Lonchura striata: one gene and its partners. The protein of the gene in region 4 interacts with the protein of the main gene of each other region in a biochemical or structural test. Links are inferred from orthologs where the notes say so. Each region holds a gene or a part of one and is shown on either strand. Other genes may lie near its edges.

What was found.
Region 1: of the proteins of CHUK (region 4) and NFKB1, one has a biochemical effect on the other in vitro, tested with the Homo sapiens proteins (3 studies listed by BioGRID and IntAct). The link is inferred for Lonchura striata from reciprocal best matches to the Homo sapiens genes CHUK and NFKB1.
Region 2: of the proteins of CHUK (region 4) and COPS5, one has a biochemical effect on the other in vitro, tested with the Homo sapiens proteins (2 studies listed by BioGRID). The link is inferred for Lonchura striata from reciprocal best matches to the Homo sapiens genes CHUK and COPS5.
Region 3: of the proteins of CHUK (region 4) and MAP3K1, one has a biochemical effect on the other in vitro, tested with the Homo sapiens proteins (3 studies listed by BioGRID). The link is inferred for Lonchura striata from reciprocal best matches to the Homo sapiens genes CHUK and MAP3K1.

Annotation. Positions count from the first base shown.
Region 1 is NC_134606.1:48,747,448-48,755,276, forward strand, and holds the start of NFKB1 (nuclear factor NF-kappa-B p105 subunit), read right to left. Parts: upstream 3,005-7,829; 5' UTR 2,838-3,004; intron 1-2,837.
Region 2 is NC_134603.1:34,859,627-34,867,593, forward strand, and holds the start of COPS5 (COP9 signalosome complex subunit 5), read left to right. Parts: upstream 1-4,963; 5' UTR 4,964-4,996; coding exon 4,997-5,154; intron 5,155-5,257; coding exon 5,258-5,492; intron 5,493-7,900; coding exon 7,901-7,967. UniProt on the Homo sapiens protein: Probable protease subunit of the COP9 signalosome complex (CSN), a complex involved in various cellular and developmental processes.
Region 3 is NC_134642.1:31,200,083-31,207,812, forward strand, and holds the start of MAP3K1 (mitogen-activated protein kinase kinase kinase 1), read right to left. Parts: upstream 3,005-7,730; 5' UTR 2,990-3,004; coding exon 2,523-2,989; intron 2,150-2,522; exon of another isoform or gene 2,122-2,149; intron 1-2,121. UniProt on the Homo sapiens protein: Component of a protein kinase signal transduction cascade. Activates the ERK and JNK kinase pathways by phosphorylation of MAP2K1 and MAP2K4. May phosphorylate the MAPK8/JNK1 kinase.
Region 4 is NC_134609.1:37,312,733-37,319,554, forward strand, and holds the start of CHUK (inhibitor of nuclear factor kappa-B kinase subunit alpha), read left to right. Parts: upstream 1-3,804; 5' UTR 3,805-3,877; coding exon 3,878-3,934; intron 3,935-4,003; coding exon 4,004-4,098; intron 4,099-5,517; coding exon 5,518-5,632; intron 5,633-6,822. Other genes in the region: CWF19L1 (CWF19-like protein 1), read left to right, coding at 269-380, 1,098-1,177, 1,994-2,203, 2,588-2,707, 3,385-3,482, 3,557-3,701.

The DNA.
Region 1 (7,829 bases), on a different chromosome or scaffold from region 4:
ACCATAATTATGATCTTATCAACACAGAACTTCATAAAAGGTTCACAGCTTATTTTAAAGGACATCAAATTACAACTTCCACTTCTAAAATACCTCTGTCAGAGCTAAAAGTGACCAAAACCAGGAATTGCCCTTTTCATTACCTGCCTGAACCATTCATTATCTTCTCTTTGTTTTATAATAGCTGTGTTATTTTGTCAGAGAACCAAAAGAAAGCTATCAGTACGTTGAAAGAAAGGATTTTTAACTAACTGTAGAGCTTTCATTAGTTGCTTACATAAACAAGTAATTTTATTTATGACTGATACTCTTGTACTTAGAGTTGGCAAACACAGCAGTGAAAGGTGAAAGTATTTCAGCAAGTAGTTTGGAGCGATCTGTGAAAACACAGTAGAATTAATCAGCATCTCTGAGGACCACAGGTGGATTTTCTCATCACTAGCTATACCAAAAAACCAACAGTAAGCTAGTAAAAGATACATTTTCTCTCGCTGTATCTTTGCAACTTCAAAAATGAAATCTACTTTGCATTACAAGCACCTCTGATAGTAAAGACTCACAGGCCTTCAAACTTAGTTCCCATCTTTCCAGAGTCAGCAATATGCACAATAATATGAATTCCTAACAGAACATATATCTTTGCATGTATTGGTTGCATGTACTCATGAGAAAGTGGCATGGGAAGGTTTTGGAAAAGGCAGCAATGAAAAGGAACCTCAAAAATCTATTAATTAGCAAATTTGCATCAATGATATTTATTTGCAGGTATCTATTATTGAAGTCACATAATGCCACCTCAAGGAAAAAAAGTAAACTAAATTTATTATTGAATTTTTAGAAGTAAAATTTTAAAGAAAACTTACATTTATTGTTTAAATTAATTTTCAAAAGTAAAATACGTAGTAACAGAGAAGTAACCAGCACTGCTATTTTTGAACAAATGAAGCAGGATATCATCAAACGTGCACATAAATGAAACACCAGTGTCTGCTTTCGACCCTGTCTCCCTCTTACTCCTTTTCTCTGTCCCAACACTTTTATCCAGCAGACTTTTCTGATTTCAAAATAAATACTACCAAACCACTACTGAGGTGTTGCCGGAACAAAGTGAATACAGATAGTTAATTTATCTGTTACAAACCTGTTTTTTAAAAACACACGACACAATGCAAAGTGATATAAAGCTGCTCTGTTTTATAATTTTAACTCAAAATGTATTCATTTCTTGCACGAGACAGTAACTACATTTTTTGATGACTCTACCACTGACTGACATTTCTTTCTTTATAAAGGGGACAAAGGGTGGAAAGAAAGCTTTTTCCCTTCTGTTTTGTATTTCAAATTAAGTTCTTTAACATGTCTTGCATAGATTTCAGCACTGAGGTTCCCCGAAATCTCCATGCACTGTGGCACATCCTGACAATAGTATTTCTGCGTAACTGTTAGTTAAATTCTCAGGCCAGGGAAAATTACGGAACAGAGAATCTGTTTCTGGATGGTTACAGACTACGTTTTTCTCTTTCATTTTCTCATAAACTGTAGCCATTTCTGTAGATTACAAAACATTGCTGACAAGATGCTATCTTAGAATGACGTCTTGGTTAACGCTTTCCTAGAACGGGCAGCTACTTTCTTTCATGAAAGAACACAAGTGCTTTGACTGAAATACTATTTCAAAAGTTGATACTACACAGTCCACAGCAGAGAGACTCCAGATGTCAATAAAATCGAAGTGCTCTATTTTCAGCCCTGTTCTGTGAGCTTGACAGTGCTGGTGGTAACACCCTGCAGCATGTAAGGCACAAGGCAATACGGCAAAGAATTCATCCACTTTTCTCTGTGAACAGAGTAAGTGAAAAGAGGACTTCTGGAGCACGAAACATGCCAAATATGATCATCATTTTAGAACTATTTTAAAATATCTTGATAACAAATAATATGTATTTCCTTTAAAACATTATTCTTAAGCGAAGATTTTGAGCATTTTAAGACAGGAAGTTGAAATGCAGCAGATGATCCCTTGCCTCCAAAGTCTTATTCCCCAAATGCTCACAGGCACTGAGATTTACTTATTTTGAAAATACGCAGCAGTACACATGATGATAACGGCCCAAGAGCACATACCTCATGTCACAGAAACAATACTCCGATTCACATTCACGTAAAATAAGTCAGCAGCTCTCCTTCACCAAAGCAGAAAGCACCAAGAGATGAAAAAATAATTGCGATGATGAGAAGTTCGATATTCTTGGGTTTCAAGGTCAAATGTAACTGAGTAATCACTGCAATAACACTCCCGGTCGCGACGAGAACTTTTGGGTTTCACCACTTGCAACTACGTTACGTTTAAAAACCTCACTATTTCGTACCTCCTAAATCAGTCTGCGGCACTCTGGGGCAGCAGCCAAGACCAGCTCACCAGAGCTGCCAGAACCAGCCCACGTTTCCGTGGTGCCCACCTGCACTCCTGAGCCCGGCCGGCGACTGTGCCCCGGCCGCGTCCCAGGCTCAGCGCGTCCGTGTGTCACCTTCGAAACCAAAAGCGACAAAAGCAGCGCCTCCTTTGCCTACGAGCACCCGCTACGCGAGCGGCAGAAGCTGGGCTTGCAAGTTTTTTTCACTTTGCTGTCACGGGCACCCCTTCCCTCGCCAGGAAGAGCCCGGTAACCCAGCAGCAGCAGCAAAGCCGGCATCCCGCCGCCTCCCCGGGCTGGCTGCAGGCGAGAGCCGCGCAATCCCTGCCCCAGCCCAGCGGAATGCCCGCTCCCGCCGGCGAGGACGCGGAGACAGGGGAGAAGGAAGGCAGCGAGTGCGGGCCGGGGCCGCCCGGGGCTCACCGGAGCAGAGCTGGCGGCGCCTCCTCCTCGTCGTGCTGTGCCGCCGGCGGTCCCTCAGCGCCGCGCCATGTAACCCGGCGTGCCGCCGCCCGGCTCCGCGCGGAGTCCCCCCTCCTTTCCGCCCGCCCCACCGGCGAGGGCGCCCGCCCGGCACCGGCCTGCGCAGCCTCCGCCCCTGCCGCCGGCCCGCCGCACTTCCTGCTGGAAATTCCCGCTGACGCTCCGGCAGCGCGGAGGGCCGCGCGGGCGGGGCGGGAGGAGGCGCGGCCGCGGCAGGGAAGGGGCCGGGGCGCGCTTGTACCGAGCCGCCCGCTGGCCACGAGGTCCCCGAGCCGGGGACGGGCTCACCGCCCGGGTGAAACCGCGTAAACACGCGGGTCCTTTCATCCCAGGGCAGTTACGCCGCCGCAAGAATCATCCCGTCCTTGCCCACGCTCCTTGGACCACGGCGGAATTCGCGACATCTCTGTGGATACGGGCCCGACCCGGTGGCTGCCGAAGTTTTTTTGACCTCTAGATATAAAGTTTGGAAGGCGAGAGAGAGACTCTGCATGGGGTGAATTTAACCCCCCTGCCGCAGCGCCTGGCTGCTAGCTGGCTTTCCCAGGCAGTTCATTAAAGGAAATTTTCCGACTCTTGCCGCCCGATGCCTGCCGCCGCTGGGCAGGGAGTACGGGCTGCACGGCACCATTTGTGTGTAGGCTTACACAGTTTCTGACAGAGCAGGCTCCCAGGTAACTTGGCTTCTGTTGAACAGTGCCAACCATCAATAATGTGATTTTAATACCAGAATCCAGGTTTGCAGCATGGTAATCAAGTCTCCCAGACACATTTAACCAAGGCTGAAGCAAGGCAGCTAGAGCCACGTTTAATTGGCACAAATACTATGTAAAACAAGTTCAAATATTTTTATGCTAAATCTTAAAACGTCTGGTTTGCTAAGGGTGACGAGTGTCTCAAATGAGCATCCAGCATAGCTCTCTGAATGTGTGTTTGTGCAGAAAGTCAGCAGCACGCCTCTGCGGAGTTTTGTTATGCTAAGGCCACATAACATGGGGCTTCATGAATGAGATTAACAAAAATCATAGCTTAAAATAAGAATTTAAAACCTCAAACATATAAAGGAACCAAGGAATATGACTGTTGCTTTTTTTGTGTTGAAGCAAGTAATTGTAACCTAGAGCAAAAATATGTTCAAAAGGAAGAGAGGCCAATCATAAGCCACCTGTTGATTGGAACAAAATGAAAGGGGTATTTTTACCAGAAAGGGAGTAGATTCAGATGTTACATTTTGTGTCACATCTCTGTGTTGGAGCAGAGAGACACTATTTAAAATGAGAGCTGAGAATGCAAAAGAGAGCTCGGAGATGAAAGGGATTTTCTTTGCTGTCTTGAAAAATGACATTTTCTACATGTTAGACATAAATATATAGGAAGAGGGAGTAATTTCCTTTTTTTGGATTGCCACTCATGCTCTGTGATGCAATTCTAACAATGCAGTCCCCCATTCTCTTCCCAGTACATACTGGGAGCTGAGAATGACTCAGCATTTCCGAGTAAAACATGTTTTCCTTATTATATGGGGATATTCAAGACCAATATTATTTTTTTTTTAATGGAAGAAAATGCATTGAATTAATAGGAAAGAATTGTGAGGAAAGAATTGTGTCCCAAAGCCCTTGAAGGAGGAAGTCTAGATGGATTTTAAATACAAAGATGTTTCAAAATAAGATTCGTTTGGAAGGAAAGGTGCCATGTCATACCTAATCAAAGGTGTGCTCACAGGGCAAAACATGTATGAACAAGTACCAGGAAATCAGACAAGGTGGATAAATTCCAAAACTTAAGGAGACTTACCTGGTGGATTTATTTTAAAAGGACATGCATTTAAGTACTCAGGCTTAGCTTTCCCTGTGAAATCTTAAGCAGCTTCCACAAAAATCCACAAAAATAAAATCCTCTTCTCAATTATATTTAAAGCATAAATTTGCCTTTTTTAGAGCTTAATACCATAGCTGAAGTGTTATTTCTACTGACACCCACAGTAGTGCCAGGCTGTAAGCCCACACTTTGGTAAAATTATCTTCACAGAACACTCTAGATAAATGTACTGCTTTATAGCCCAGGATTCCCACTTGAAGAGCCAAATAATTCTGCTCCAACCACTGAGGAAATCGGGCAGATAATACAGGCTCAGTGGTTCGCAGTGATGAAGTGCTGCCTGTTTCCTGAATAACACTGGTTTCCACTATTACCATCAAGTTATTTCAGTAGCTGGACAATCTCAGCCCAGAGATGAGGAGCAGGTGATCACACCTGAACCCAAAGGAGCAAATGCCTGCTGTTGAGCTGTTGAACCACTGTGAAATGGTTGCAGCCATGTCTCTGGCGGCTGGGCAGGTGCACTGAAGGAAAGGCTTTCTAGCTGTACGCTTAACCAGGCTGTTTCACCTCAGTCAGGTGGGGGACATTTAAGTTTCCTGATATGCAGATGTAATTTAGAAGCTGAGCCTCTTCTCTGCTTGGTTTGCTCTGGGACTCCAGATATACAGATCTCTTTCCAAGGTCAGAAATCTTTGGCCTCAGTATTTTTTAATCATGTAACTAATGATAGATAAACATCTAAGACAAGCAGAGATTTTTTAAAATAATCAGTCTTTAATTGATATGTCTGGATTGGAAAAACTCATGAAAGTTTCTTACATTATTTGTCTTCTGTTTCTGACGCATGTATTGGAATCAGGATAGGCTCTTTTCATTCCTTTTGACGTAGTAGGTTTGAGGCTAAAGCAGGAAAAGGTAAAGGAAAGTTTAAAATAGCTACTGAGAGACACTTCCTTTTAAAGCTTTCAACTGCCCATCTTCATTGAGCTACTATGCCATACTATCCAAATCTATTTCTGGTCAATCCATTATTTCTTTCTCATCCAGATAATCCAGAACTGCTAACTTAAAAACTGATTTGCCTTACATAGTAGCCAATGATTATCTTAACACACTTCAGTCTCGTAGAAGTTGTCAGTGTTTAGCCAATATTTGCTGTTGGCATTGCCATTGTCTCCTGTAGCTTGAATCCACCACTATCACAGGAAGAAAATATGTTAAAAAAATAAAAAAAAAGTTGTATTTTAAAGATGGTGTCATCTTTCTGAGACTATATATGAAGACCTAATGAAGTTGACAATAGAAACTATATTTGAAAAAAATATTCTAAATAGCCAATGTACATTTGCAAAGCCAACCATTTGAACTGCAGCTAGCAGGGTGTAGAGTTTAATGGTGCTGCTGAATCCCTATGTTGCAGCATTCATGAGAAGTACTTTGTATCATCTCTGTCATTTTTGTTGGATGTTGAACTGGCTGCAATTCATCACATACTTCATCAGAGCAACACCCTGCAAGGCTCTGAACAGTGTGGTGGCTCCTGTAATTACATAGGCCACATCCCAAATGTACCTCTTACTTGCTTCCTCCAGAGCCACAAATCAGACATGGGATCTCATATTAACCCCACTGTAGTTTAGGCATGTATCTCTGCTGAAAGACTAAATTTCTGATGTTTTGGGTAAGACTGCCAGAGCTGAAGGCAGGAGTTTTCAGTAGTGAATAACTACTGGGGGACAGGTACTGGGGAGTTAGTAGACTTAAATAAGAGAACCATGAAGCTGTAGATATGGCTGATGGGTATAATTATCAGAGAAAAGGGAGCCTTTGGAGAGAGCTAGAAGTAAACAAGAAAGGGAACACTGCTCAACATTTACTTACAACTGTCATACATGATAGGGTATCACTTCCTAAAGGACATTGAAAGAGCCAAGTAGAGAAGGCAATTTGATATATATAATTTTTGGAATGGTTAGCCTAGCCTTCCCTTAATTTGTCTGTGTAATGCTATGCCTTCTTCCTTCTTTTCTTTTCCACTGGCAGATGATTACTCCAAAAGTGGTGGTTTATAGATTCTCTGTGAACTTGCTGCAAGGTAGCTGCTCTCAATGGAGCTACCCAGACCACTGTGAGAAGTTGTGAGCTGACCAGTTCATCAGAGCATTGAAGCTGCTTCATGCAGAACATACATTCTCTTCCAAAAGTGTGGCCTAGGCTGGTCCTACTTGGCAGCCCAGGTTTAGTGGCCGAGCAGAATAACACTGTACAAGAGTATGTGCATGTATTGACAGAATAGAAATGGTTGTGTTTGTAGAAACCATTCAGAGAACCATTAGTGTAGCACTGTAGCAATGTGGAGTTCATGCAGATTAGAGCCCAAAGCAAACTGCTCCAGCAAGTGCTGTTACAGTCAGGAGCTGTGCTGTCTGGTAATAAATCTAATGAACTGCCAGTCAGGTCTTCAGAATCTGGGCCTAATTCAGATTGTGAGTGATTCACTTATTGCCACTCAGCTATACAACACCTTGACCAGCCACTGAAGTAGAGGGATGGGTTTCTGCCATTTGAGTTCACTGGCAGCAGGTCTTACCAGTCCACTGCATGCACTCCCTTCTCTTCCCACCTCCCCATGTTATGATTAATATCCTGTGCTCTAGTCATTATTTAATATATGAGATGATTGGGTTCTCTTCATAGTATTTTGCATATCTGAATGATACATACTTTTGACTTCTATCTGATTACATCCATCAGAACCTAGTTCAGGTGCCCAGTTGTTTTCCCAAGGGACATATGTTCTTCTCATTACACAACTGTGGCTTTAGTTCTTCAGCAGTGTTTCACCCAGTTAGCTAATGCAAACAAAAGCAGCTGTTTGTTGTCATTATCACTTTCTTTTGTCACTTTCATGAAATACATGCTCAGTTCAATCTATGAGGTCACTTTGGGTCAGGTGTACTGAGTAGGACCGATGTTAACACAGTATAGAAAGTTAAATTTAGCTAACTTGATTTATATTGCTGCTGTTTTATTGCTGCAGTGCAAGGAAAATTCCAGATAGCTAAGCATTGTACAAATATATAGGGAAGGGGTTTCTTCTGCCATAGG
Region 2 (7,967 bases), on a different chromosome or scaffold from region 4:
CTTCTGGGGTTGGAGCCAACAGTACCTACTTTCTGTACCACTAAAATAGCAGACGCAATAAGAATAGCTATAGGTCTAAAATAATCCCAAAATCAGGGATATGAGGAAGCACTGACTGAGAATTAGACACTGATCTGTAAGAAAACATGTAGTGAGGAAGAGCTAATTACCTCTCTTCCACTAGTTGTGTACCTTGCATATTAAACTGGAAGTCCTTCGAGCAGAAATTTTAGCACCTGATTTGCGGAATTTAGTGTATATTGCTGCTTTCAATAACCTCATAATAAAAACTGAAGTCAATCAAGTTCATGTCAATGGAATTGTACTGAAGTTGAGTTAGACTAGTCGTATCAGAACTAAAAATACTGCAAAGCATACCAACTACTTATAGAAAAAGAAAGACAAACCAGCAAGAATGACTGCATACAAGCCTACTCATCCTAATCTCTCCCCAGCATTTTCACTAACTCCACTGGAGAAGGAGTTTTACAATACCAAGCTTACTGGCAAAAAAAAAAAAAAAAAAGAAAAAACTCAACTTAGATTCCACACTTAAAAGAAGCACAAAACTAAGAAAGTTATGAACCTCAAAACACTCCATGCAGCTTAAGCAAAAGGATTGCTTATGCAGGTTCCTGAAAAATCCCATCACATCCACTATCTTAATTAACATGGCAGGTTTTTTTCAGGCTAATTCACTATCTTTAGAAGTGAAGTATGAAGTAAACAAGAGGCCAGTGATAAAACTATATTAGAAAGCAGTTTCAGGAAGAGGACTGATGAACTTAAAAACAGCAACAAAAAAAAAACAAACCACCAGCTCAAAGATAATAAGGTAGCACATAGGTAAACATAAAAATAATGTGTCCAGAGAAACTGAGATAAATTCTCAGTAGAAGCAAAATGGAAATAAGAAAATGCACAAATTCTCTATGATAAAGTGAAGTAAGTGCATGCTAATTTAATTTACAGAATACATTTGTTTGATGTATTCCTTAGAATGTAATCCTTTGAACTTTTTATCTTTTTTATTCATAATATAAAATTATAGTATTTTTACAAAGGAGGCAGAACTAGGCCAGCCCATTTACAATTCCTAGTGATAATACAGGACAATCAATGCCAAAAATAAATCTCCCCCATCTGATTTGTCCTAAATCTTTAATCTCATTAGTTTTGCACACTGATAAAGGATAAAAGAAATCTGAAAGAGGATAAGTTCCTAGGCATGGTAAATTTTATTTAGCCTATTAGGTTACATAACAATAATGATAAAATGTTCTGAAGGGGTAAAACAACTTGTCATACTAAAAGAAGGTGGTTTCACCACCTACCCAATGCTACACAGTCATCAAGAGGAAAATAACCACATGTAGGAGGCACTGTGAGAAGCCTTTCCAAAAGCTCACTGACAGTAACATCTGTATTTCCTATCTCTATTTACAACAGCATTTATAAACTCCAGCACTGTTTCCAAATCACTGTATGGGAATGGTACCAAACTTACTCTGAGAGCTGGCATAAGGAAAGGAGTCTTTTAGTGTATTTTCTAACTAGCATGAGGAGTACAATTAATACTGCAGCATTCTGCACTCCTATCATATTGCTCAAAAGAGCAATATAGTAAGTTAAAAGCCAAAGACAAAACAGTTACAGTTAAACTACACAGGGAATTCGACTGGTGTGAAGAAAGCTGGCAACTCCAGGCCTTGGAGAATACTAAGCTGACTAATGCTACAGCACTGTTGATTCAGCTACCTTTAATACAGCACAATTGCCTGGAAAATTCTTACCAAATTCTTCACATAAATATCTAGACATTTTATGTCTTAACTTCCTTCTACCTGTGTTGATCTTCTTAAAATACTCATGAATGCAAACTCTATGAGATAAGCAAAAATAATACATTATAGCAAAAAAGAAAAATTTCTTAAGTTAGTCTAAGCAAAAGGGTGACAAGCTTCAATGTGACACATACACTGTTAAGTTGCAAAAATATACCAGCATGCAAGCAAATACCCTACTGAATATTAGTCAGTTTTATCATCTACTGTACCATGTGAAGAGATCATGACTAATCACAACAAAAATAAAGAAAGAACACATTTCTATATGAGACAAGGGCTACCACAGCCCTCAGGAGTGCAGTAAACTATCTTGGAAACGACAGCACCGAACTCACAGGGAAATGTCAACTTCATACTGACTTCCCATGACTGCACAAACACACTGAGGCACAGCCTGACACTATAGCACCAATTCAGAGCAAAATCATTTATTTTCAGTTTAGCAATACATTTTAATTCTTTTTGTGCATGTCTAGATCCTTGCAATTACTCGTTAAACTAGCAGATTCAAAACCAAGCTGGGACACATCACTCCATGGGCATGTACAGAGCATGAAAGGAAAGTCAGAATATGCTGTAAACACTTAAAAATGTATCCCTATGCCCTCAAAATTATGAGGTGTAAGCATATTTCTCTAGCTTTCTGGAAAAGAGAGTATTTTGTAAAAGTATTTCTAACAAATTTTTGATAGGATGTAGCTATCAGCCTTTCTTTAGCTCTTGCTAAAGAAAGATAATTTGTATTCCCAAAATAATGCATTATACGAAGTCAAATTCCATTAATCATACTGCTCTTTTATATTCAAGTACTGTCTGAAAATGTCCCATAAAAACATTTTTACATACTTTTTCTTTCAAGAAGATTTTAGATTTTCATAGCCTCTTTTCCTTATTCAGAGTTTGCACAAAAGCAACTCTGAGTAATTAGAGTCACCTAGGTAGACTTCAACTTAAGCAAACATACCAAGCAATAGAAAGCATGCAGATATTCAAGAACACTAAGTCAAGTTTGAACAGGAGATTTTTATTGGATCTATGCCCAAAGAGAGTTAACCATGTATGTCTTTCTATTCAAGGTATCTAAAACATCTATGTCCATATGTATTGTATGCACTATATTTACCATGCATTTTGTAACGACTTTATCACCTAAAGCAATGTTTACTGTATCCCATTTTAATCTTTCCTTTCCCCTCCTAATTGTTCAGGAAAACACACAAAATTTAAAATCAGCACGTGCAAGTAGATTTCATCTCTTCTATGCCACCATAATATTGAAATATCAGCAGGAGCACTGGCAAAAAGGCAATTTCTTATCCACGTGAACTGCAGCACAGGTGGCAAGGAGGGAAATGCTTTAAAAGAGCGACTATATGCCAAGTTTAGTAATTGTACTTACAAGCTATACAGCCACTAATTGTGTCACTAAGAAACACTGTTAAAAGTTTAACCCGAACTTCCTGAGGAATTAATACTGACTGCTTCTGTACCCTTGTGAATGGCACTTAGAATAAGCTACTGCTGCCAGAGACGCGCTCCCTGTACTTTTCTTTAAAATTCATTGCGGAAAAGCACAGATTCAAGGGTCTGGCCGTTGATAAATAATAAACTCTTGACTAAAGCAATGCGATTTTTTCGCAACTGAGAAGGCAGTCTATCCTCTGAACAACGAAGCAACAAGTTTGGCGAGTTACTTTCCCTCCACTACAGGGCTTATCTATTTTTTAGAGTACGTAATTTGATCCAAAAATACACTAATTTCGAAAAACTTTCAGACCCAGGAGATCAGGTTTATTTCTGCGAGAGCGACAGCTCGGGCAAGCGCCTCTACCCCGGCCTGCAGCGCTCGCCTCCCCACCTCCGTCCTCGGCAGCACCTCTGGGGCACTCCCGGAGGCTTCTACGCGCCGGGGAGCAGCTGCGGGGCGGAGATGCGACACTCGGGGCTCGGCCCCTTTCCGGATGGCGGCGCCGTTGTCAGGCAACGGCCGCACAAGCGGCCCCACCGGAGGGCCGGGACCAGCCCGGCCGAGCCGAGCCGAGCCGAGCCCCGCCGGGAGCCCCCACGGGGACCCCCAGACCCAGCGGTGCGCCCCCGCCCCGTCCCGCCGCCCAGCGAACGCCCTTCGCGCCCGCCGCCGCCCGCTCCGGGCTGTGAGCGATGCTGGCGACGGAAGCCCCCGGCGGGGCTGCGAGCAGAGTCCCCGGGCGCCGCGCCGCCCCCGCCCGCTCACCGGTACCGGCAGCCACGGCTCCGTCCGCGCCCCGCGCGTTCCTGCCGGCCGGAACGCGGCGGGCGGCGCCGGCAGCGCCCCCCGCTGCCCCGGAGGGCGGCGCGACCCGGCTGCCGCTCCTCCCGGGCGGGGAAAGGAGCGGAGGGGAGGCGGCACGGGCGGGCTCCCCGGGCTGGGGCGGCGTACGAAGGAGCGCAGCGGGTCACCTGGTCCAACCTCCCCGCTCCGGCAGGGCCACCCTACAGCGCGTGGCGCAGGATTGCATCCACACCGTTCCTGAGTCTCTCCAGCGAGGGACACTCCACAACCTTTCTGGGCAATCTGTTCCAGTGGTCGGTCACCTGCACAGGAAAGCAGTTCTTCCTCATCTTCAGGGCGAATTTCCTATGCAACAGTTTTCTTGCCTCTTGTCCTATTGCTTGACACCTCCCAGCAGAGCGCGGCTGCATCCTCTTGACGTCTTCCACTTTAGACACTTATATACATTGATAATGCCGCTTCTCGGTCGTCTCGAGGCTGAACAGGCCCAGATCCCTCAGCCTTTCCTCGCGAAAGAGACGCTCCCGTCCCTTAAACATCTTTGTTTACTCTCCGCTGGACCCTCTCCAGATGTTCGTGTCTCTCTCGTACTGAGTGGCCCCGAACTGGTCACAGTAATTTAAGAAGCACAAGTCAATAAATAAATGGATATAATAGAAAGGCCTCCGCCCGGCCGGGGTCGCGTTTTTGCGGTGCCGGTTCACGGGGCGAGCGCGCCGGGCGCGGCCGCGTGCAGAGCCGGGCGCGGCCGCAGGGGGCGCAGCGCCGCGCGGCCGGGCCTGCGCGGACCGTACCACCCTGCGAGGTGCCCCCGGCCCGCGCTTGGTTCCGCCGGCGGCCCGGGGCGGCGGTGCGCGGCCGGGAGCGCGGCCGGGCCATGGCGGCGGCGGGCAGCGGCGCCTCCGGGAGCGGGATGGCGCAGAAGACGTGGGAGCTGGCGAACAACATGCAGGAGGCGCAGAGCATCGACGAGATCTACAAGTACGACCGCAAGCAGCAGCAGGAGATCCTGGCGGCCAAGCCCTGGACCAAGGAGTGAGTGGCAGGGGGCGGCAGGGCGGGCGGGCGGTTTGGGCGGTGAGGAGCGGCCTGACGGGATGGCTCTGCCTTCCCTTCCGCGGCCTCTGCCTTGTTGCAGCCACCATTACTTCAAGTACTGCAAGATCTCTGCGCTGGCGCTGCTGAAGATGGTGATGCACGCCAGGTCCGGCGGCAATCTGGAGGTGATGGGGCTCATGCTGGGCAAGGTGGACGGGGAGACGATGATCATCATGGACAGCTTCGCCCTGCCCGTGGAGGGCACCGAGACCCGCGTCAACGCGCAGGCCGCCGCCTACGAGTACATGGCTGCCTACATCGAGAACGCCAAGCAGGTAAGGACAGGTGGCAGGGGGTTCTGACCGCCCCCCGTGGAGATCCTGTGCCTCTTGTGAGCTTCAGGAACATACCTGGGGCGTTCCAGGCTTCCTCCCTCCCCCAGAGAGGAAGTGCCTGCCCGGTTGTCCTGTCTCTCCTCAAACATGGCAGTGAGAACTGTCAGCAGCACGGAACGCAGGGGCCTGTAAACATTTTCACATACATATTTCTCTGACTTACAGTAGGTCATCAGAGGTTGGACACGATGATCTTGGAGGTCTTTTCCAATTTAATGATTCGTTGGAAAGTAGTGCATTCTCCTTCCCTTTGAAAATTACTTTCATTGCTGAGGAAGTGTTCTTATGGCTGCTGGTTGTGCGACATAGTGTGTTTCTAAAACAACCGATACTTCTTTCTAAAAACAGTATGCAGAATTAAATATATGTGTGTGTTGGACTACTTAGTATTTATAGATCAGAATTATGACATTCATTCTTACCTTCTGAGATCTTAGTGTATGGTATGCTGCTCTATTCCATTAAAAAAGACGTTTGTGAAGAAAATGTCAGTGAAGGAATAAGTAAGTTTCAGTGAAAATTAATTATTCATATTTATCATTTGGAAATTTAGATGAACTTGCTTGTCTGTTTTTCGTCTTTGTCACTTTCTATTCAAAGAGCCATGTCATATTAAAGCTGACTATACAGTGCAGTTCTCATGTGCAGAAAGATAACAGAAGTATAACTGTGCTCTGTGGCTGATATGTAAACCAGCACAGAACATCAGAGCACTTCCTGATGTGCTTCTTCCAATACAGGGCAATTCTATGCTAGAAATAAGAGTTGAAATAACTTTAACTCTCCAAGCTCAAAGAGTTTTGATACCCAGTTGACGCATTGATTTTTAAACCAGCTAAAATTAGAAGCCCTTTACATACTAAGTGGATATAACAGAGGAGTATTTGGGTTCTTTTGGAGAGTTGGACTTATGTTCATAGCCATAAATAGAATTGAAGATATGGAAATGGATGTGCATTAGGCTGAATCATAACATCAGCAAACAGTAAACATAATGCAGAGATAATTATGTTCTAGAACTCTTGTTGCAAAAAGTAGGTAACTTGAAGAGATGTCTTTGCCTAAAGATACAGTCATGCTATCTTTAAATAAAGATATATTCATAGAATCCCATTCTTAGGTAGAAATACTGAATTTCAAAGTGGTAAGTATATAGCTTAAAATTATAAACAGCTTGTCTTATGTTTAAAACAGTCCAGGTTTCTGTAGGAGTTCTTATGTGATAGGAAATGTTTATTTCCCCATTGTTTATGTTGTTCAGTTTTGTCTGTAGTTGGTTTCACAATTTTGAAAATGAACTTGTGTGCAAATAAAAGAACTCTACTTTCCTGGTGCTGTGGCAGAGCTTTCATGCTGGCTGTTTCATATTTGATTTTGGCAAGCACTTGTTCCTGGAATATTTCTTTTTATCATTAGGTGCTAGTTAATATGCATCCTCCTATAGAAATGCTTTATAGATGCTGCTGTTCCAGTTAGTTGCTTTTCCATGGACAGGATCTGGCCTTAATGTAGTTTAGATGTATCATTTGGCTTTGAAAAATAACACACGTTCTTTAGTGTTTTGTTGGTGTTTGTCATGCAAGCTGTAAAGAAAATACAAATATTCTTCACCAGTTAAAAAATACAGTAGGCAATTCATGTGTTTTGTCTCATTACCAGAGCAGCCAGTAAACAGTTCCTTAGAGAGGATTACAAAAATGAGGTTCAATGGGTGTTTATTCTCCTCGGTTTTTTTGGCTTTGCTCCTTTCTCTTCCAGTATTTTTAGAGATAGCCAGCTGTATTATTTGGAAACTCCTATTTTGAGGTTTTATCTGAGAAAAAGTTGTCCAAAACTCATAATTTGGCTTTTAAACCGGTCTCCAGGCAATAATTTCTGTCATTTCTGGTGTTTGAAAGCATACCTTTGAAGTAATTTTTTAAACCTACCACTGATCTCATAGTATGTGCCTGTGAGATATGTTACCATACTAAAAAATTAATTCTCTACTGACGTTCCCTACGTTATATGAGGTTATATATACTTGTGTTATATCGCTAAGAAATTTCTCAGCCCTGCTGAGCAGCTGCAGCTCACCATCCAGCTGTGTGGAACCTCTTCTGTACTCCAGCTGTCACTGAAGAAGGAGCCCCAGGCTCCTCGAAGGCCTTTGTTCTGTGGCAGCAGCTGTAGGAGAGAATGCCAGTGCCACTCATTGTACGGTTTCTAGGGAATATTTCCCCACGCGTGGAAATTCCCGTTTATCCTGCCGCGCCTTGCAGTGTGCTGGAAGTGCCGCTGGAGGGCAGGCGGTGCTTTGGGAATGGAGCTGGACGCTGGGGCTGTTTCCCTTCCCTGCTCTTTCTTAGGTCGGACGCCTGGAAAATGCCATCGGCTGGTACCACAGTCACCCCGGCTACGGCTGCTGGCTCTCGG
Region 3 (7,730 bases), on a different chromosome or scaffold from region 4:
AAGTAATATTTACATCTATAATTCAACAGCAGTCAGTTTCCCTTCTCAGGTTCGTTTTGAGGATCAAGAAGGTCTTCCAGCATAAAGAGAAACAGAGAATCTATTTAAAAGGAAGTAACTGTAATACCAAAGAGACTGATAGGGGGACTTTGGAGCAAATATATCTTCTAACTAATAGTAGATCCTTACAGGTAAAGTACAACTAACTGCATTCAAAACCTCCCCATAAAACATTCATTAAATTATACCTTTAAGTTTGCCTCTTAATAAATATCTCGGCAACAGCTGGCCAGACAAATTTAATGAGTATTATTATTACTCGCATATCAATTAGCCTCTCTCCTCCAGCTGAAACAAGTCAATATTAAAATGAGGCCATATAGATGTTTTAAATTTTTTAAACAACTTGATCTAAACTTGATTTAAACTACTTGGTCTAATATGTATTTATTGGTAATACAGCACACTGAGCTACATGAGCATGCATGGGTATTTCTGAAGGACAATCATTGTTAAAGTTGTCATGTATTTTCAAGTGCTCTTACAAGAAACTCAAAGTAGACTCACTGAAATACTGAAGAGAAAAGCTTTTGGCATTCGGTATTTTCTAAGATTTGTTAACATTCCTAGTAAAATAGCACAAAACACTTCCAAGTATTTTAAATTGCATACACACTCAATACACTCACTTGGCCAAATGCAGGTACCTAAAAGTAAGCAAAATTGTCCATGTGAAAAGGCAAAAAAATATATCCACAGCTGCTTTGTCATTGCTGCTGTGGGACCAACTACCAATGATGGATGCAGCATTTCAGCACTGATGCGACACACATTGACCTTCCTGCACCTCCAACACTGAGCCTGACTTCCACTTGCTACCACCTTGAGACTCGACCTCTTTAAACATATTCTGATGCTATTTTTTTTTCTTGAAAGCCATGAAACTTGATATAACTGTATTATCATATACAGTACATTATAATACCATGACTTTATAAAAACAAAGATGGTGCTAATAGTTTTTAAAAAGACAAGGCACTCACTAGAACTTCTACATCATTACCCTTCCCTAAAACATCTACAATTTCCTGCTAATCCTTGTGTAAGTACAGAGCCATTTCTTATCTGGACAATCACACTATAAGAAGTATTTTTACACTGCCCTAGGAACAGGCCAAAATCCATCTGAATTGCTGAGAATAAATATAAACAAGTCATCAGTCTAGGAAACAGTTCTTATTACAGTATTCCTATGGTAATTCAACCTTTAAAAAATATTCCTGAGGTTTGACTGACATAAGATGCGACTAAAAAGAAAACACAAGTCACGTCCAAACAGGAATTATATTTTTATGAGGTTTAAATGATTAGCCAAACTGTAAGGCATCACTAAAATAGGTCCCTGGATGTTTAAACTAAGTTCTTAAACTAGAGTCCGCACCAGATAAAACCTTACAAGAGATCCAGGTGAAATTGTCATCTTCACACCAAAATTAAATGGTCATACTGCAGTGCCTACACACACATACACCAGTAAAACCCAGCGAGTACATGCTAAAGCTGAAATGTGTTTTAAAGTACTTAAACTCCTTCACCACGGGCATAAGTTCGCTTTCAACCTGAGTACTTGCAAACATAAATAGGCAAATAGGCAAAATACTGGTAGTTCAGAAGAAAATGGACTTATCAATTAATACACACAGAAGGCAAAGACAGACTGCAAACACCAGGGCGCTGAGTACAACCACTGAAATTTATCACCTAGACGAAGCCACGACAAAATTACTTTCCCCTATTAAAAGAGTGCGGATATTTATGCTTCAAAGTCTTTCCTCTTGTTACTAAAAGAAATCAGTTCTGCATTATCGCGAGGCAGCAAATTAAAATCTGACTTCGGAGAATTCAGGGGGTGGGGTGGAGGGGGAAGGGGAAAATGAAAACATAATAAAGTCGATTACTCAGTTTTGCAGCAAAGCACTCGGCAGCGCCTGGGGAGCCCGCAAGGCAGGCGCTCAGCCGCCGCCCGCAGCCCGGCCCCGGCCCCGCACCGCGCTCGCTCGCCCCGAGCCCCAATGGCTGCTGACACATCCGGCCCCGGCCGCGCCGCCGCCCCGAGCTCACACTTCAAAGCCTTTCGGGACTCCGGCAGAAGTCGAACACAAACGCACCCCGCAGCCACACGGGCCGCCCCCCGCGGCTCCGCTCCGCGGCTCGGCTCCCGCGCAGCCCCGCACCGCTGACAGCTGCGGGCAGCCCGGCCCGGCCGTGCCCCTCCCTCAGCCCCGGGCCAGGTGTCCCGGGGGAAGGCGGGCGGCGGGCGAGCTCTGCTCGCCGCGCCCCAGCGCTGCGCTCCGCGGCCGCTCCTGCCGCCCCCGCATCCGCCACTTCCCACGGCCGGGGGGAACGGGGCGGCGGAGCCCGCCCCGAGCCCCGTCCGCGAGAACAGCCCCGACGCCGCCGCTGTCACACAGCGCCCTCCAGGACCGACCCTCGCCGCCCCTCCAGCCGCCGGCGCCCCTCACCTCGCGGCGGGGGACGGCTCCATCCTCCGCTCCGCGGCGGCGCCCGTCCCCGCCGGCAGCGGCTCCAGGAGCTCGGCGCAGCGGCTGGGGGAGGCAGCCGGACTGGCGGGGCTGGAGCGCGGCGGCCCGGGCAGGTAGTGGAGCAGCAGCAGCGTCTCAGGGGGCTCCGGCGAGGAGGAGGAGGAAGAGGACGAGGCGGCCGGGGCGGCGGCGAGGAAGAGGGGCGCCTCCGGCAGCCGGTCCAGCTCCACGCTCCGCACTTTGCGCAGCTGCTTCCGTCTCCAGTCAGAGCGCTGTTCTCGGCTGCCGCCGCCCGCCTCCCGCAAGAGTCCCCCGCCGCTCCCGGCGACGCTCCCGGCCACCGCGCCGCCTTTCAGGCTCCCGCAGGCGGCGGCGGCGGCCGCCTCCACGCCGCCGCCCGAGGATAATCCCGATGACGAGGCGCGATCCCCCGCCGCCGCCGCCATTTTCTCTGTCGGGTCACATCGGGCTCCCGAGCACCGGGGGCCGCCGGCGGACGGCGCGCTGCGCAAACGGCGCCGCCTGCGCAAACGGCGTAGGGCGGGGGCGGACGGCGGGCGCGGATTGGCGGCGGCGGGCGCCGGGGGCGGGGCCGCGCCCGTAGGTGCCGCGGGGCCGCGCCCCGTCCGCCCCCGCGCAGGTGTCGGGGCGGGACCCGGGCGGGAGCCGCGCCTGCCGCCGCCGCTGCTCCGCGGGGCTGGGGCCGGGCCTGCGGCCGGGTCTGGAGCCGGACGGAGTCCGTCCGTGCGGCCGAGCCAAGCCAGGGAGCCGGTGGAGGCGCCAAGAGGGGAGCGCGGCCCCGCCCCACGCGGCCCTCCCCACGTGCGGGAGCGGCGGAGGCTCCGGCAGCCCCGGGGCGCGCACGGCCGGCCGGGCGGGCTGAGCTCCGTGCGAGGCCGGAGAAGCCTTTCCCGGATCTCGGAGCCCTCCCATCTCGCACCCCCGTAATCTGAGCCTCTCCTCTCGCCAGCATTTCCCCAGCAGCTGGCGAGGGGCCGGGAGGAGCGGAGCGCCCGCGGTGCCTCGCTGCGTACAGCCGATGAATCGCCTCACAAGTGTGCCCCAGCTCACCTGGGCGTCCCTCTCTGCAGTCAGGAGGGAATCAAATGCACATCCTCGCTCGTAGCCACCGCGCGTCCTTCTCCGGGCTGCCCTCAGTTGGCCGGCGCCGCTCCCCCCGTCCTCAGGTACTTCTCCATGTCTGCAAACTTCGGAGAAGCGTTAATGTCTCCTTGTGTGCGCAGGCATGCACATGTAGGAAAGGTTATACCCTGCCACGCACACCTACCGCTGCGGCTGTTTCCTGAGAGACTGCGAGAGAGAAGAAAGGCAGGAGACATCACATGACCAGAAACTTGGGGAGGTTCAAGTAAATTTTCTACTTGTCGGGATTTTCGCTCAACCACATTGGGGTGGTTTTGCTTTTAGATCTGAGATGAGAAAAGGAAAACTGAATATTGCTATGCATACAAGCTTGGTTTTGGGACGGTGTGGTTTTTAGATAAAGTAGAAGTCACATTTTAAAGCACTTTAGCTGAATATTTCAAGCGTATTTTTCAGAATTTGGTGGGTATGCAAGTGTAACATTAACTACGCGTATCAGTAATGATTATTAGTATGGTCAGTTTCCTGGGATCAGTGATTTGATCTGAAGCACTAGTTGAGTGAGAATTACCTTCTAGCAGAAGCAGATTCTTTCTTGCGTTACCTATATGATCAGAAGCTGACCTAAATGTAGGGTCTTTGCTGGAGGATGTGATGAGCAGATAGGAAGAGGTTTTTCCCGTTAGACAAAAGCCTGAGGACACTTTTTGTACTCTGTATACTTAGAGAATAATATCAGTAGGTAAGGCCTTGAGGTCACACTGAGTGAATCATTTAGGTGATCTGTCAAGATGCCACACTACAACCATCCTTGTGCAAGGTTTTCAGTGAAGAGTGCTGTGAGAAGGTCAGTTGTATTCCTTGTCATCTTGCAGGTATAGTTTCTTTGGGATAAGCAGACCATCATCTAATATTCTCTTGCAATTTACAACTAATGGTTGTACAGCTAATGTACAACTTGTAATGTAAATTAATTCATAAAGGTAGCATTTGACACTTAAAGCCTCTGCTGTAAATTAGAGAGAGTATTCTGGAAGATTCCTAGACCAAGACACATTGAAAAAGTGAGGAGGTTACTCATGGGAACAAGATAACAAAGTATCCACTTTGTAGACACAGCATGAAATTAGTTACATGCAAATCAGTGCATTATTATAGTTTTTCAAATATTCCTCTCTGCCATAAAATCACATTTACAGAAAAAAGAAAGAAAATAACCACACAAACCCCTATGCTTTTAAAGACATCTAAACAGAACAAAATGACTAGGTATTTTATAAATGCTCTTAAAATGGAAGAGGAATATTCCTTTGAATAGCAATTGGTCAGAATATAATACAGAGGAGAAGCAGCATATCTTCAATAAAATTAAATCTAGGAGGTAAGGGTATATACACAATGTGTATGACAGTTCTAGGGGACATCTCTCTCAGGGTGTCAAGACTCCAACAAGGGAGAAGGAAACAGAAAATTCAAGGAAAATGTCAGAGTGGCAGTGGGGTACTGAGGAATTCTACACTGTGGTGTATCTGCATGTACACTGAGGTGAAATGTTTTATGGAAAGCAGCTAAGAACAGGGCAAAATATAAAATTCAGGGACAGTGAGAGGCACCACTGTAAGAAACAGCTAAAAGGAGACAGGTGCTGTCACCATTCCTTTTAAGGCATTACTTTGCCTTTTGAGTAAGGCCAGTGCTGTCAAGGTTTTGCATTACTTCTGGATAAGATGCAAAGTGGAAAACTTACTATTCTTCATTAAAAAGTGCATTGTTGTTTATCCTTTGACTAGTGGCTGAATTTCAATTCAAATAAATTACATTCTGCCTATAGTGCCTATAGTCACTTTATTTATTTTCAAAAGTGTGTTTCTCCACAGTGCTGTGACCAGAGAAGGAAACATAATGGATAACAAGACCCGTCTTCCATTCCTCACTCTAGAACACTCTGTAGTGCAGTGCTGACATGAAACACAGATTTATGCACAATATAAAGGCTCTACCACTTTGAAATCAGAAATTGAACATGCTGGTTGACATCTGTGTTTTCTCATTTGCTCTTAAAATTTTTTTTGCACTTAAATAAACAAGCTGACCTGATTGAAAAAAAGTACAAAACTTGCTTAAGAGCTCTGAAAGATACTCAGTTACCTCTTGCACAGATTATTTCTCATTCTATCTAAAACACAGCTCTAGAAGGTAACCTGAGACTTTTAGCAGTTTTTAGTCACAAGTAACAGCACTCAGGGTTTGTTATGAAACAGAGGCCTTTGGCCTCAAATTAGCATCGTGCAATATTTGGAACATCTACCGTTGTACACAAAGAAACTTCTGTTTGGGAACACACTAAGATTTTGCAAGCCAAGGAGTTTCCTTGTTGCACAAAACTTGTAACAGTGTAATGAATAGTCAACAATTTTCAACATGCTAGAGATAGGAATCTGCTGTGCCCCTGAATATATAACCTAGGCATCATCATGCACAAACAGAATAAATATGAGAGATAATACAGTCCATAGCTTCTGGTCTTGACTAAACATGCAAAAAGTGCTTTAATACTGTATACAAACTGGATTCTCCCTGTCTTGTTAGTCTGTGTAGAAAGACTTATCCCCACCTTGATCTTCTATTCATTCTTTCCGTTGTGAGAAAGGGAAAACAAACCTGCTCTTAAGCCAAAATCCTTTCCTGTTTACTCCTCTGTGTAATGGAAAAGTCAAGCAACTAAATGAGAACCAATCTGAGGATCTTTTCATACTACTTTCCTAGGTACTACTGAAATCTGCCGGCATTGCTGTTTTCTGTAGTAATGCTTTGCCATCTTTCTGATGCCATTCTTACTTTATAACATAACAGGTGTACCTTATAACATAACAGGTATCCTTCAGAAAAGCAGGATCCTGTACCACTTCTCAGGAGAGAGAATGTCAAGTAAAACTGGAATCTGTTACAGAAAATTATAGGGGCTTTTGCTCACACACTGGGAATGTCTAGTCTGCTGCTATTTATAAATTTATTTCCTTAATGTTTTACTTATGCTTTTCATTATTATTTTAATGGAAAACACCTTTAAAGATTTTTTTTTCCCCTCACAATTCAGTCCATATGGAACAGAACTTTTGTTAAAAAATTTTTTTGGATCCATGAAACTGAGGGTGATGTTTTGACCTAAGTTTCAGACACATAGTATAAGGAAAGAGCTGTACTTAAATCTTCTTGTTCTCCCAAAGCATGTAATAACAGTTCCCAGATTATTTTTAAGAAACAGTGGTGATGATGCTACTTACAACACTCCTGCATTGTCTAGTTACATTCCTTACACTTAACAATTTTTTTTGCTGTAGCATTTACACATGAACTGGTGAACTTTTTGGTCTATCTACCATATGATCCAAAACAAAAAGGTTATCTCTTCCCAAAGAGTTTGTAATTTAAGTTTGTCTTTTAAGAAAGACAAACAGGCAACAGAGCAATCAGCAAACTAGAGTGTAGTCCTTGTACAGTATATCTGCTGCCTTGATTTTTTTTTATCACTAGTTTGTACATATTGCACTAACTACTGAAATCAGTTCCATTTTTGATGTCAGATAGTCTTTAGAATATTGATAGCTTGACGTCTAACTTAGATATTCTTCTTGGCTGTACTACAGAGGATTTTTCTGGCCTTGAATAAGTCATGATCCTTTCATGGTTCAATTTTTCCCAGCTGTAACTGTGTAACAAATATATTTACCTACCTAAGGCATGACACAAGGCTGAGGGATATAATATTATTGAGTTTCAGGATGAATCCTTGCTCAAAATAAATGTATTAATGAATGAACAAAACCTGTTAAACCTCTTCTCATGCATCATTTACAAAGAACTACTGAAATTATTGCAGCCATAAGCTATTTTTCTTATACTCTTCCAGACTAGTAAAATGACAGCACCTGGGTGATAGTTCTCACCTGGATCAACAATTCCATCTATTGAAAACACCACTATCTGTTCTCTCTTTGGGGGAAAGCAACTCTATGATTTCAGACTCAGAAAAACAGTGATAGCTCAATTTTCCTTCACCCTGCTGCTACCAGTGTTAAATCT
Region 4 (6,822 bases):
CTGACTGTAGCAGGTGCATTACTAGGAGGACAGGTCATTCTGTTCCAGGGAGCTTTGGAGTGCCCATCCCTGGAGGTGTCCCAGGAAGGGCTGGAAGTGGCACTCAGTGCTCTGGGCTGGGGACAGGGTGGGCACTGGGCACAGGGTGGGCTGTCAGGGATTTTCCAACCTAAACGATTCTGGAAAAAACCAAATTCTTGTATATCCTGTCACATTCTGTGATGCAGTTCTAACTGAACATCTCATTCACTTTTCATTTCCTGAACAGGAAGAACCAGCTTGTCAGTTTTTCTTTGACTTGAACAAGCATCAGGGAAAGAAACGTCCCTCAGAGAGGAAAGAGGGAGGGGACTCCCAACCTAAGCAAGCCAAGAAACCCCGTAAGTATGAGGATGCTTTTTTCCTGAGCTCTTCCCTCGAGGCCTTGGATGGACCACATCACTCCAAGTTGTTCCTCAAGCTGTTGAGCTGTCGGTGTCAGCTGGCCAGAGAGCTCTGTCACTGCCAGCTGCTGGGGGAATGCAGGAAGATGAAGGATCCCTCTTTTCCAAGGGAAGATTGGCTTCAGTAGGTGAAAGAAGGGTCAAGAGTGTAGTTTCAAGGCTCTTTGGGTCTGTGGTGGTTGTGGTTGGGCTGATGGCATTTACCCTCTGAACCAGATATGGCACTTCCAAAAAGCTCAGCTCAGGTATCACAGTTTGGGTGTGAATCCAGGTGTTTTGGGTGTGATGGATAGACCAGAACTGACAAGTGTGTTTGACAGCATCTGCCCTTGTCTTTACCTGTGCAGTAATTTTACCTCATTTTGATTTGTTTGCTTATCATTTGCTGGTGTTTTCTTATTAGTGAGCTGCAGCTATTAACTCCTGGAACTACTAAGCTCCTCCTTCATTAGGTTACAGCATTCCAGGAGAATGGCAGTCAGCATGGTCTGACTGCCACTACCTCCTTTCTTGCTGGAATTTCCCTGGCCAGAGCTGTGTCCTTCTGACACCTTCAGCACTTTATAAACTGGGAAGGGTGTCTGGAAAATACCAGGTTGTCTGTGTTGTGACAAATATCCCTTCTGCTAATCCTTGATTTCTTTCCCAACAAAGCTCAGCCCACGGGGCCCTGCTGGTTCTGCCTGGCCAGCCCAGAGGTGGAGAAGCACTTGGTTGTCAGTATTGGCACACATGTAAGTACCTGCAGCATGGGCTTTGCTAGGTCAGAATCATGCTAAGAGATGGCAAAACAAAATAACAATCTCCGATTTTAAACATAAAACAAACTTTATTTGCAGCTGGCTCTTGGGTTTGCCTTCAGTTCCTTTGCATCTCCTCTACAAGCACATAAGCTTTTAAAAAAAAGTGAAGTGTGGCCCAGTTTTGTTCCAGCAGCAGAGCTGGATTCCAGTGCCAGAATATTTTTTCCTGTCCCAGCCCTCTCTTACCATCTGGCAAAACTTTTCCAGCTGGAAAAAAGCTGGAACTTGCTTTGGGAGCAGGATGCACCAGTGCCAGATCTCTCTGGGGTGGCTGGTTACAGTTTTGTTCTATAGAGATGAAAAAGGTGTCCAAGATGTACTTCAAGATGTTGACTTTGAAGCTCAGTCCATCATTGTTATATGCACTTTCTGCTCCTGTATAGCATAATCCACTTACAGGGACAGGTTTGTCCACAGGTTTAGTTCAAATTTTTAAGTGGATTTTTGTGTCAGAATAAGAAATTCCTGCCTCACTGGTGAAGTTCACTCAGCAGCTTCCCTGCAAAGAAAACATTCCTCTGGCATTCAAAAGATTTTTTTTTTTTGTCATTTGGCAGTCTCTTTGCCTCTTTCTCATTCTTCTAGTGATTAATAAATTCAGTGTAAAAATAAAATAAAATGGCTAATAAAGAATCCATAATAAGCAAGATAAAAGACTCTCCTTTACTTGTGGCTACTCAGACTGAGTAGTCAGAGGGTGAATTCCTACAGCACAGTGAGTAACTGGTGTGTGTTGTTTCACTCTAGTGCTACCTTGCCCTGGCCAAAGGGGGTTTGTCTCCTGACCACGTCCTCATTTTGCCAATTGGGCACTATCAGTCAGTGGTGGACTTGTCTTCAGAGGTGCTGGAAGAAGTGACCAAGTACAAGGCTGCTCTAAAGGAATTTTTCAGAAGCAAGGGAAAGAGATATGTCCTATTTGAAAGAAACTATAGGAGTCAGCATCTGCAGCTACAGGTATGGTTTGGGTGTTGCTCTGGGAAAACATAAACTTGCACTGAATATAAACTCCAGATGAACACAAAGAGTAATTTTGGGGTTTATCATGGTGGTTTCTGTGTGTGCAGGTCTGTAAGTGTATCAGAGCTGTATCAGAACTACCACAGAGATGAGAAAGGAGAGGGCTGTGCTGAGAACTTTCAAGCCTGGGGTTTTCAGCTCTGTCCAGCTCCTACAGGGTAAAATGTCTCATAAGTTTAAGCCTGTAGAGATGGGTGCTCCCCTATCTTGTGTGATGAGGCTGAGCTGTACTGAGGAGCCCATGAGCTCCAGTGATGGACTGATGGCTTTCTGCAAATTCATTGTCTCGTCTTCTTTTATGGAAATGTCCTCCCTCTCCAGGTCATCCCTGTCCCACTGGACCTCTGTACATCTGAAGACATCAAGGAGGCCTTTATTACACAAGCACAGGAGCAGCAGATTGAGCTGTTAGAAATCCCAGAGCACTCTGATATCGCGCAGGTATGGGGCCAGATTTCACCTCTTTGCTCCCCCTGTGTCCTGCCTAAGCTGTTTCCCTCTGAGGTCACTGTGTGGGGTGGGGCCAAGCTGTTGGAGGCAGAACCTCATCGACTTGGTTTGGGGATGTACCAGGATTCTGCTCTGGGAGAAGTTCCCAGGTTCAACAGATGATTTCTCAGCTAAGAAATGTGAGCATGGCCTCATCCTCCAAAAATTGTATGTAGTAGGCTGGGTGACCTAGATGAGGTTAGGAACAACGAGACCTGCCTGGTTCTCATGTAGTCACTCACGGCAGAATTAAACCACAAAATGTCATAGGTGATCCCACCAGGAAGTGACCCACTGCTCCTTCCTCCCATGGAAGGTATTGTTGGAGGTGAGGCACTGACCTCAGGCAGTTTATGGGGTTATTTTTCCAAATTTCCTCCCAGAAGAGAGCATGGCATAGCTGAAGTGGCCGGGAGGAGGGTCTGCCTGTCACCTGCTCTCAGAAGGGTGGCCAGGAAGGGGCTGCCTGGGGCGGTGGTGGAGTCGCCACCCTGGAGGTGTTTAGGGTGCAGAGTGGGCGTGGCAGCGCCGTGGTCCAGCTAAAGGGCGGTGGTGGGTCCCAGGCTGGGCTCGATGGAGGTGTTTCCCAGCCGCGCTGATCCTGTGCTTCCGTGGTTCCCTCGGCACAGGTGGCTCAGCCGGGGACGCCGTACTTCTACGTGGAGCTGGACTCGGGGGAGAAGCTGTTCCACCGCATCCGCGGCCGCTTCCCGCTGCAGTTCGGCAGGTGCGCGCCGGCCCGCCCGCTCCCGCCGTGACGTCACGGCGGCGGGCGCTGACGTCACGGCGCTGTCGTTGCAGGGAGGTGCTGGCGAGCGAGGCGCTGCTGGCGCAGCCGCAGCGCGCGGACTGGCGGCAGTGCGCCGCCCCGCGGCCCGAGGAGACGGCGCAGGCGCGCGCCTTCCGCCGCGACTTCCAGCCCTTCGACTTCTCCCTCCGCGACTGAGGCGGCGCTGCGCGCGCTGCCGGCGCCGGCCGGTGACGCGGCAGTGAGGGCGGAGTGCCGGAGCGAGCGGCTGAGCCATGGAGCGGGCCGGCCCCCCCGCGCCCGCCGCCGGCGAGCGGGCCCCCGCCGGGGCGGCGCTGCGCGGCCACCCGGCCGGCGGCTGCGGGCCCTGGGAGATGCGCGACCGCCTGGGCACCGGCGGCTTCGGCAACGTGTGCCTGTACCAGCACCAGGTGGGGCCGGGCCGGGCGGCGGGGGGGGCACGGCCGGGCCGGGGCGGCTGACGGCGCTGTGTCCCGCAGGACTCGGGCGACCGCGTGGCCATCAAGTCGTGCCGGCTGGAGCTCAGCGTCAAGAACAAGGACCGCTGGTGCCACGAGATCGACATCATGAAGAAGTGAGTGCGGGCCGGCTGGCACGGCTCGGCTCGGCTCGGCACGGCGGCAGCGACAGGGAGAGGGGCCAGCCGGGGGTCAGGCCATGGACTAGCGGGCAGTGCGGGGAGTCAGCCCCGGACCGGCTGCGGAGATGGGACCGCGCTGTGGGGACAGCCGGGGGTCAGCCCCTGGGCCTCTTGTCACCTGGCATGCCTGTGCTGCTTTATCCCTCATCCCAGTGCCCCAGCTCCTGCCTTGGCCTGGGAGCTGGTGATCCCCAAGCCCCCTGCCCTGTTGTGCCACCTGGGCTATTCACCCATCGAAATTCCTCCAAACTCACACCACCCTGTGGGTTGAGTTCTGATGTTGTGATTTGGGAACGCCCACATGTTCCCATACCGTGCGGTACTTTTGGTTTTGATTTAGCAACCAGGGGATCCTGGAATTGCTTTTTTTTCTGTCACGCTGCCGAATGTAAAGAATAAATTCTCCTTCCACTTCCTTGTGAGAAAGTCCATGCTATGTGCTGCCCAGCCTCCCTCTCCAGTGGGTGAAACAGGGCTGGACAGCTTTGGTCTCATGGATGTGGGGGCTGCCTCTGGGTGTTTGGGTCTCACAGAACTGCTCCTGAGAGAGAAAGAGAGATCTTGGAGCAGGAAATCCTCTGTCCCACTGGTGGGAGCAGGGATGCTCTGAGTTGTCCTCCCCAAGGCCTGCAGTGACCCTGGTGTTCAGGGCTTTTCTGAGCTCCTGCTGTCGCTTTGTTACCCTCACCTGCTCACTGTGTGCCATGACGTGGGAAACCACTTGCAGGGAACACGAATTTTTAAGTCAAAGCTTGGGTGATGTTTGATTTGGGTGCTGGAAACAACCACTGAGTTATGAGCTGCTCTTGCATTGGTGTCCAGAGGCTTTGGAAGATGTAGAGGGGAATAATTTGCTTTCATTTCCATCTGGATATATTAATTCCCAAGACTAGCGTGTATTAGAGACAGTCAGGAAGTAGCTGTTTCTGTAGCTGGAATTCAGCTGCAGAAGTTAATTTTTCCCTCTGAATGTGGCTTTCACCTGCCTGGTGCAGTTACACAGGTGTTATGGGGTTTTTGTGAAATGACTGGGCTAGGGGAGTCTGTTCCTACATACACACACACACATGTAATGACACTGCCAGGATGGTGCAAGAATTCACAGCTTGAGTTTGGATCCCCATCACCAAAGTCCTGCACCTTGCATTTGAGACATCAGTTCTGCTCGTCACTGGTTTGTGTATTCCCAAGGTATGGGTTTTATGCATTTGGGTACGGTAGGTACCAGCTGATGAGTGAGTAAGGATTCCTGTGGGGAACAGAAGCTGTCCCTGGAACATAAAACGTGGTTACATTGCAAGCTGTTGTCTCATTCTCCCAAGAGAATTTTCATCCAGCTCTCTGTGTGCTTAGGCTGAACCATCCCAATGTGGTCAGAGCCTGTGAAGTTCCTGAGGAGATGAACTTCCTGGTGAACGACGTTCCTCTCCTGGCCATGGAGTATTGCTCGGGGGGCGACCTCCGCAAGGTAATGCCTGCTTGGCTTTCAGTAAAAACCAGATACCACTAACCCAAACAGGGCGTGGTAGCGCTGCTCCTGTCACCAGGCCTGCTCTGTGGAGCTTCTCTCTTTGGGTATGATGTCTAGAACAGAGTTAAAGAATAAAGCAGGGATTTATTAAAAGGATCTCCTCAATGGATCCACCTTGGGCAGCACAGGACCCCAGCCAGGGCTGCACACCAAGATGAACCAAAATGGTCACAAAATGCACAACTGCTCTCGGGGTCTCTCACTTTTAGTTCTGCTCCATTTGCGTATTAGAGTTAATTATCCAATTACAGCTCCAGCCCATGAAGTCCCATCCTGCTAGTTTTTCTCTCTTCAGCCCACATTGTTTGTGCTCTTGGGCCTGAGATTTGGATCACTTGTCCTTGGTCCCCAGCTAGAGAAGGAATTGTTTTGTCTCCCTGTTCTGTGCAGAGAGCTCACCATCCCATAATGTGAAGCTCAAACCCACACCCTAAAGCAGCAGAGAATCTAAAAAATATAAAAGCTAAACCCTGAGGCATCAGGTACACGTGTGAGGAAGTTAATGTAGAGTGGGAAAAAAAATGTGTGTGGGAAACGAGGCTTGTGTTTTTGAAAGCAGAGGGCAAGCCAAGGGCAGATACTCTTTTATCCTGGTGTGTCCTTTCGTGGAGCTGCTTTAGCATTAGTGCAGCTGCTGCCACCCAGCAGGTTTGGCTTTGCTGCTGTGTCTCCATCTGTTCAGAGTCTGACTGGTTGGGATTCATGTGTATCCAGTGTTATGTTGCAGTCAGCATGGGGAGTGAGCCTATTTCTGCTGGACTGGGACCTCCAGGGATTCTGAAGCTTTGCTATTCCTGTTGAACTGGGAACTGCCAATCTGCACACTGGCAACACCCAAAAATAAAGGAGCCTTTCAGTAGTTCTCCAGGCAGTGGCTTGGTGACCTGGTAGAGTTTGTGCTCCCCTTCCATTACAGCTGGATTCAGGAAGCAGCAATTTCTAGAGGGGTGAAGCAGCAAATCCCCATCAGGATTTGCTTAGAAATCACCTGGGGAACAGCTCTGGGGAACGTCAGCCAGTGGTGAATGCAGTAATCCCATCTCTTTATATGGTTTTGAGTTGTTAAAAACAGTCCAAGAAACACTGTTAAGGTTTAAGTCGCAGTAAAAGAAGGAGCATATATACAA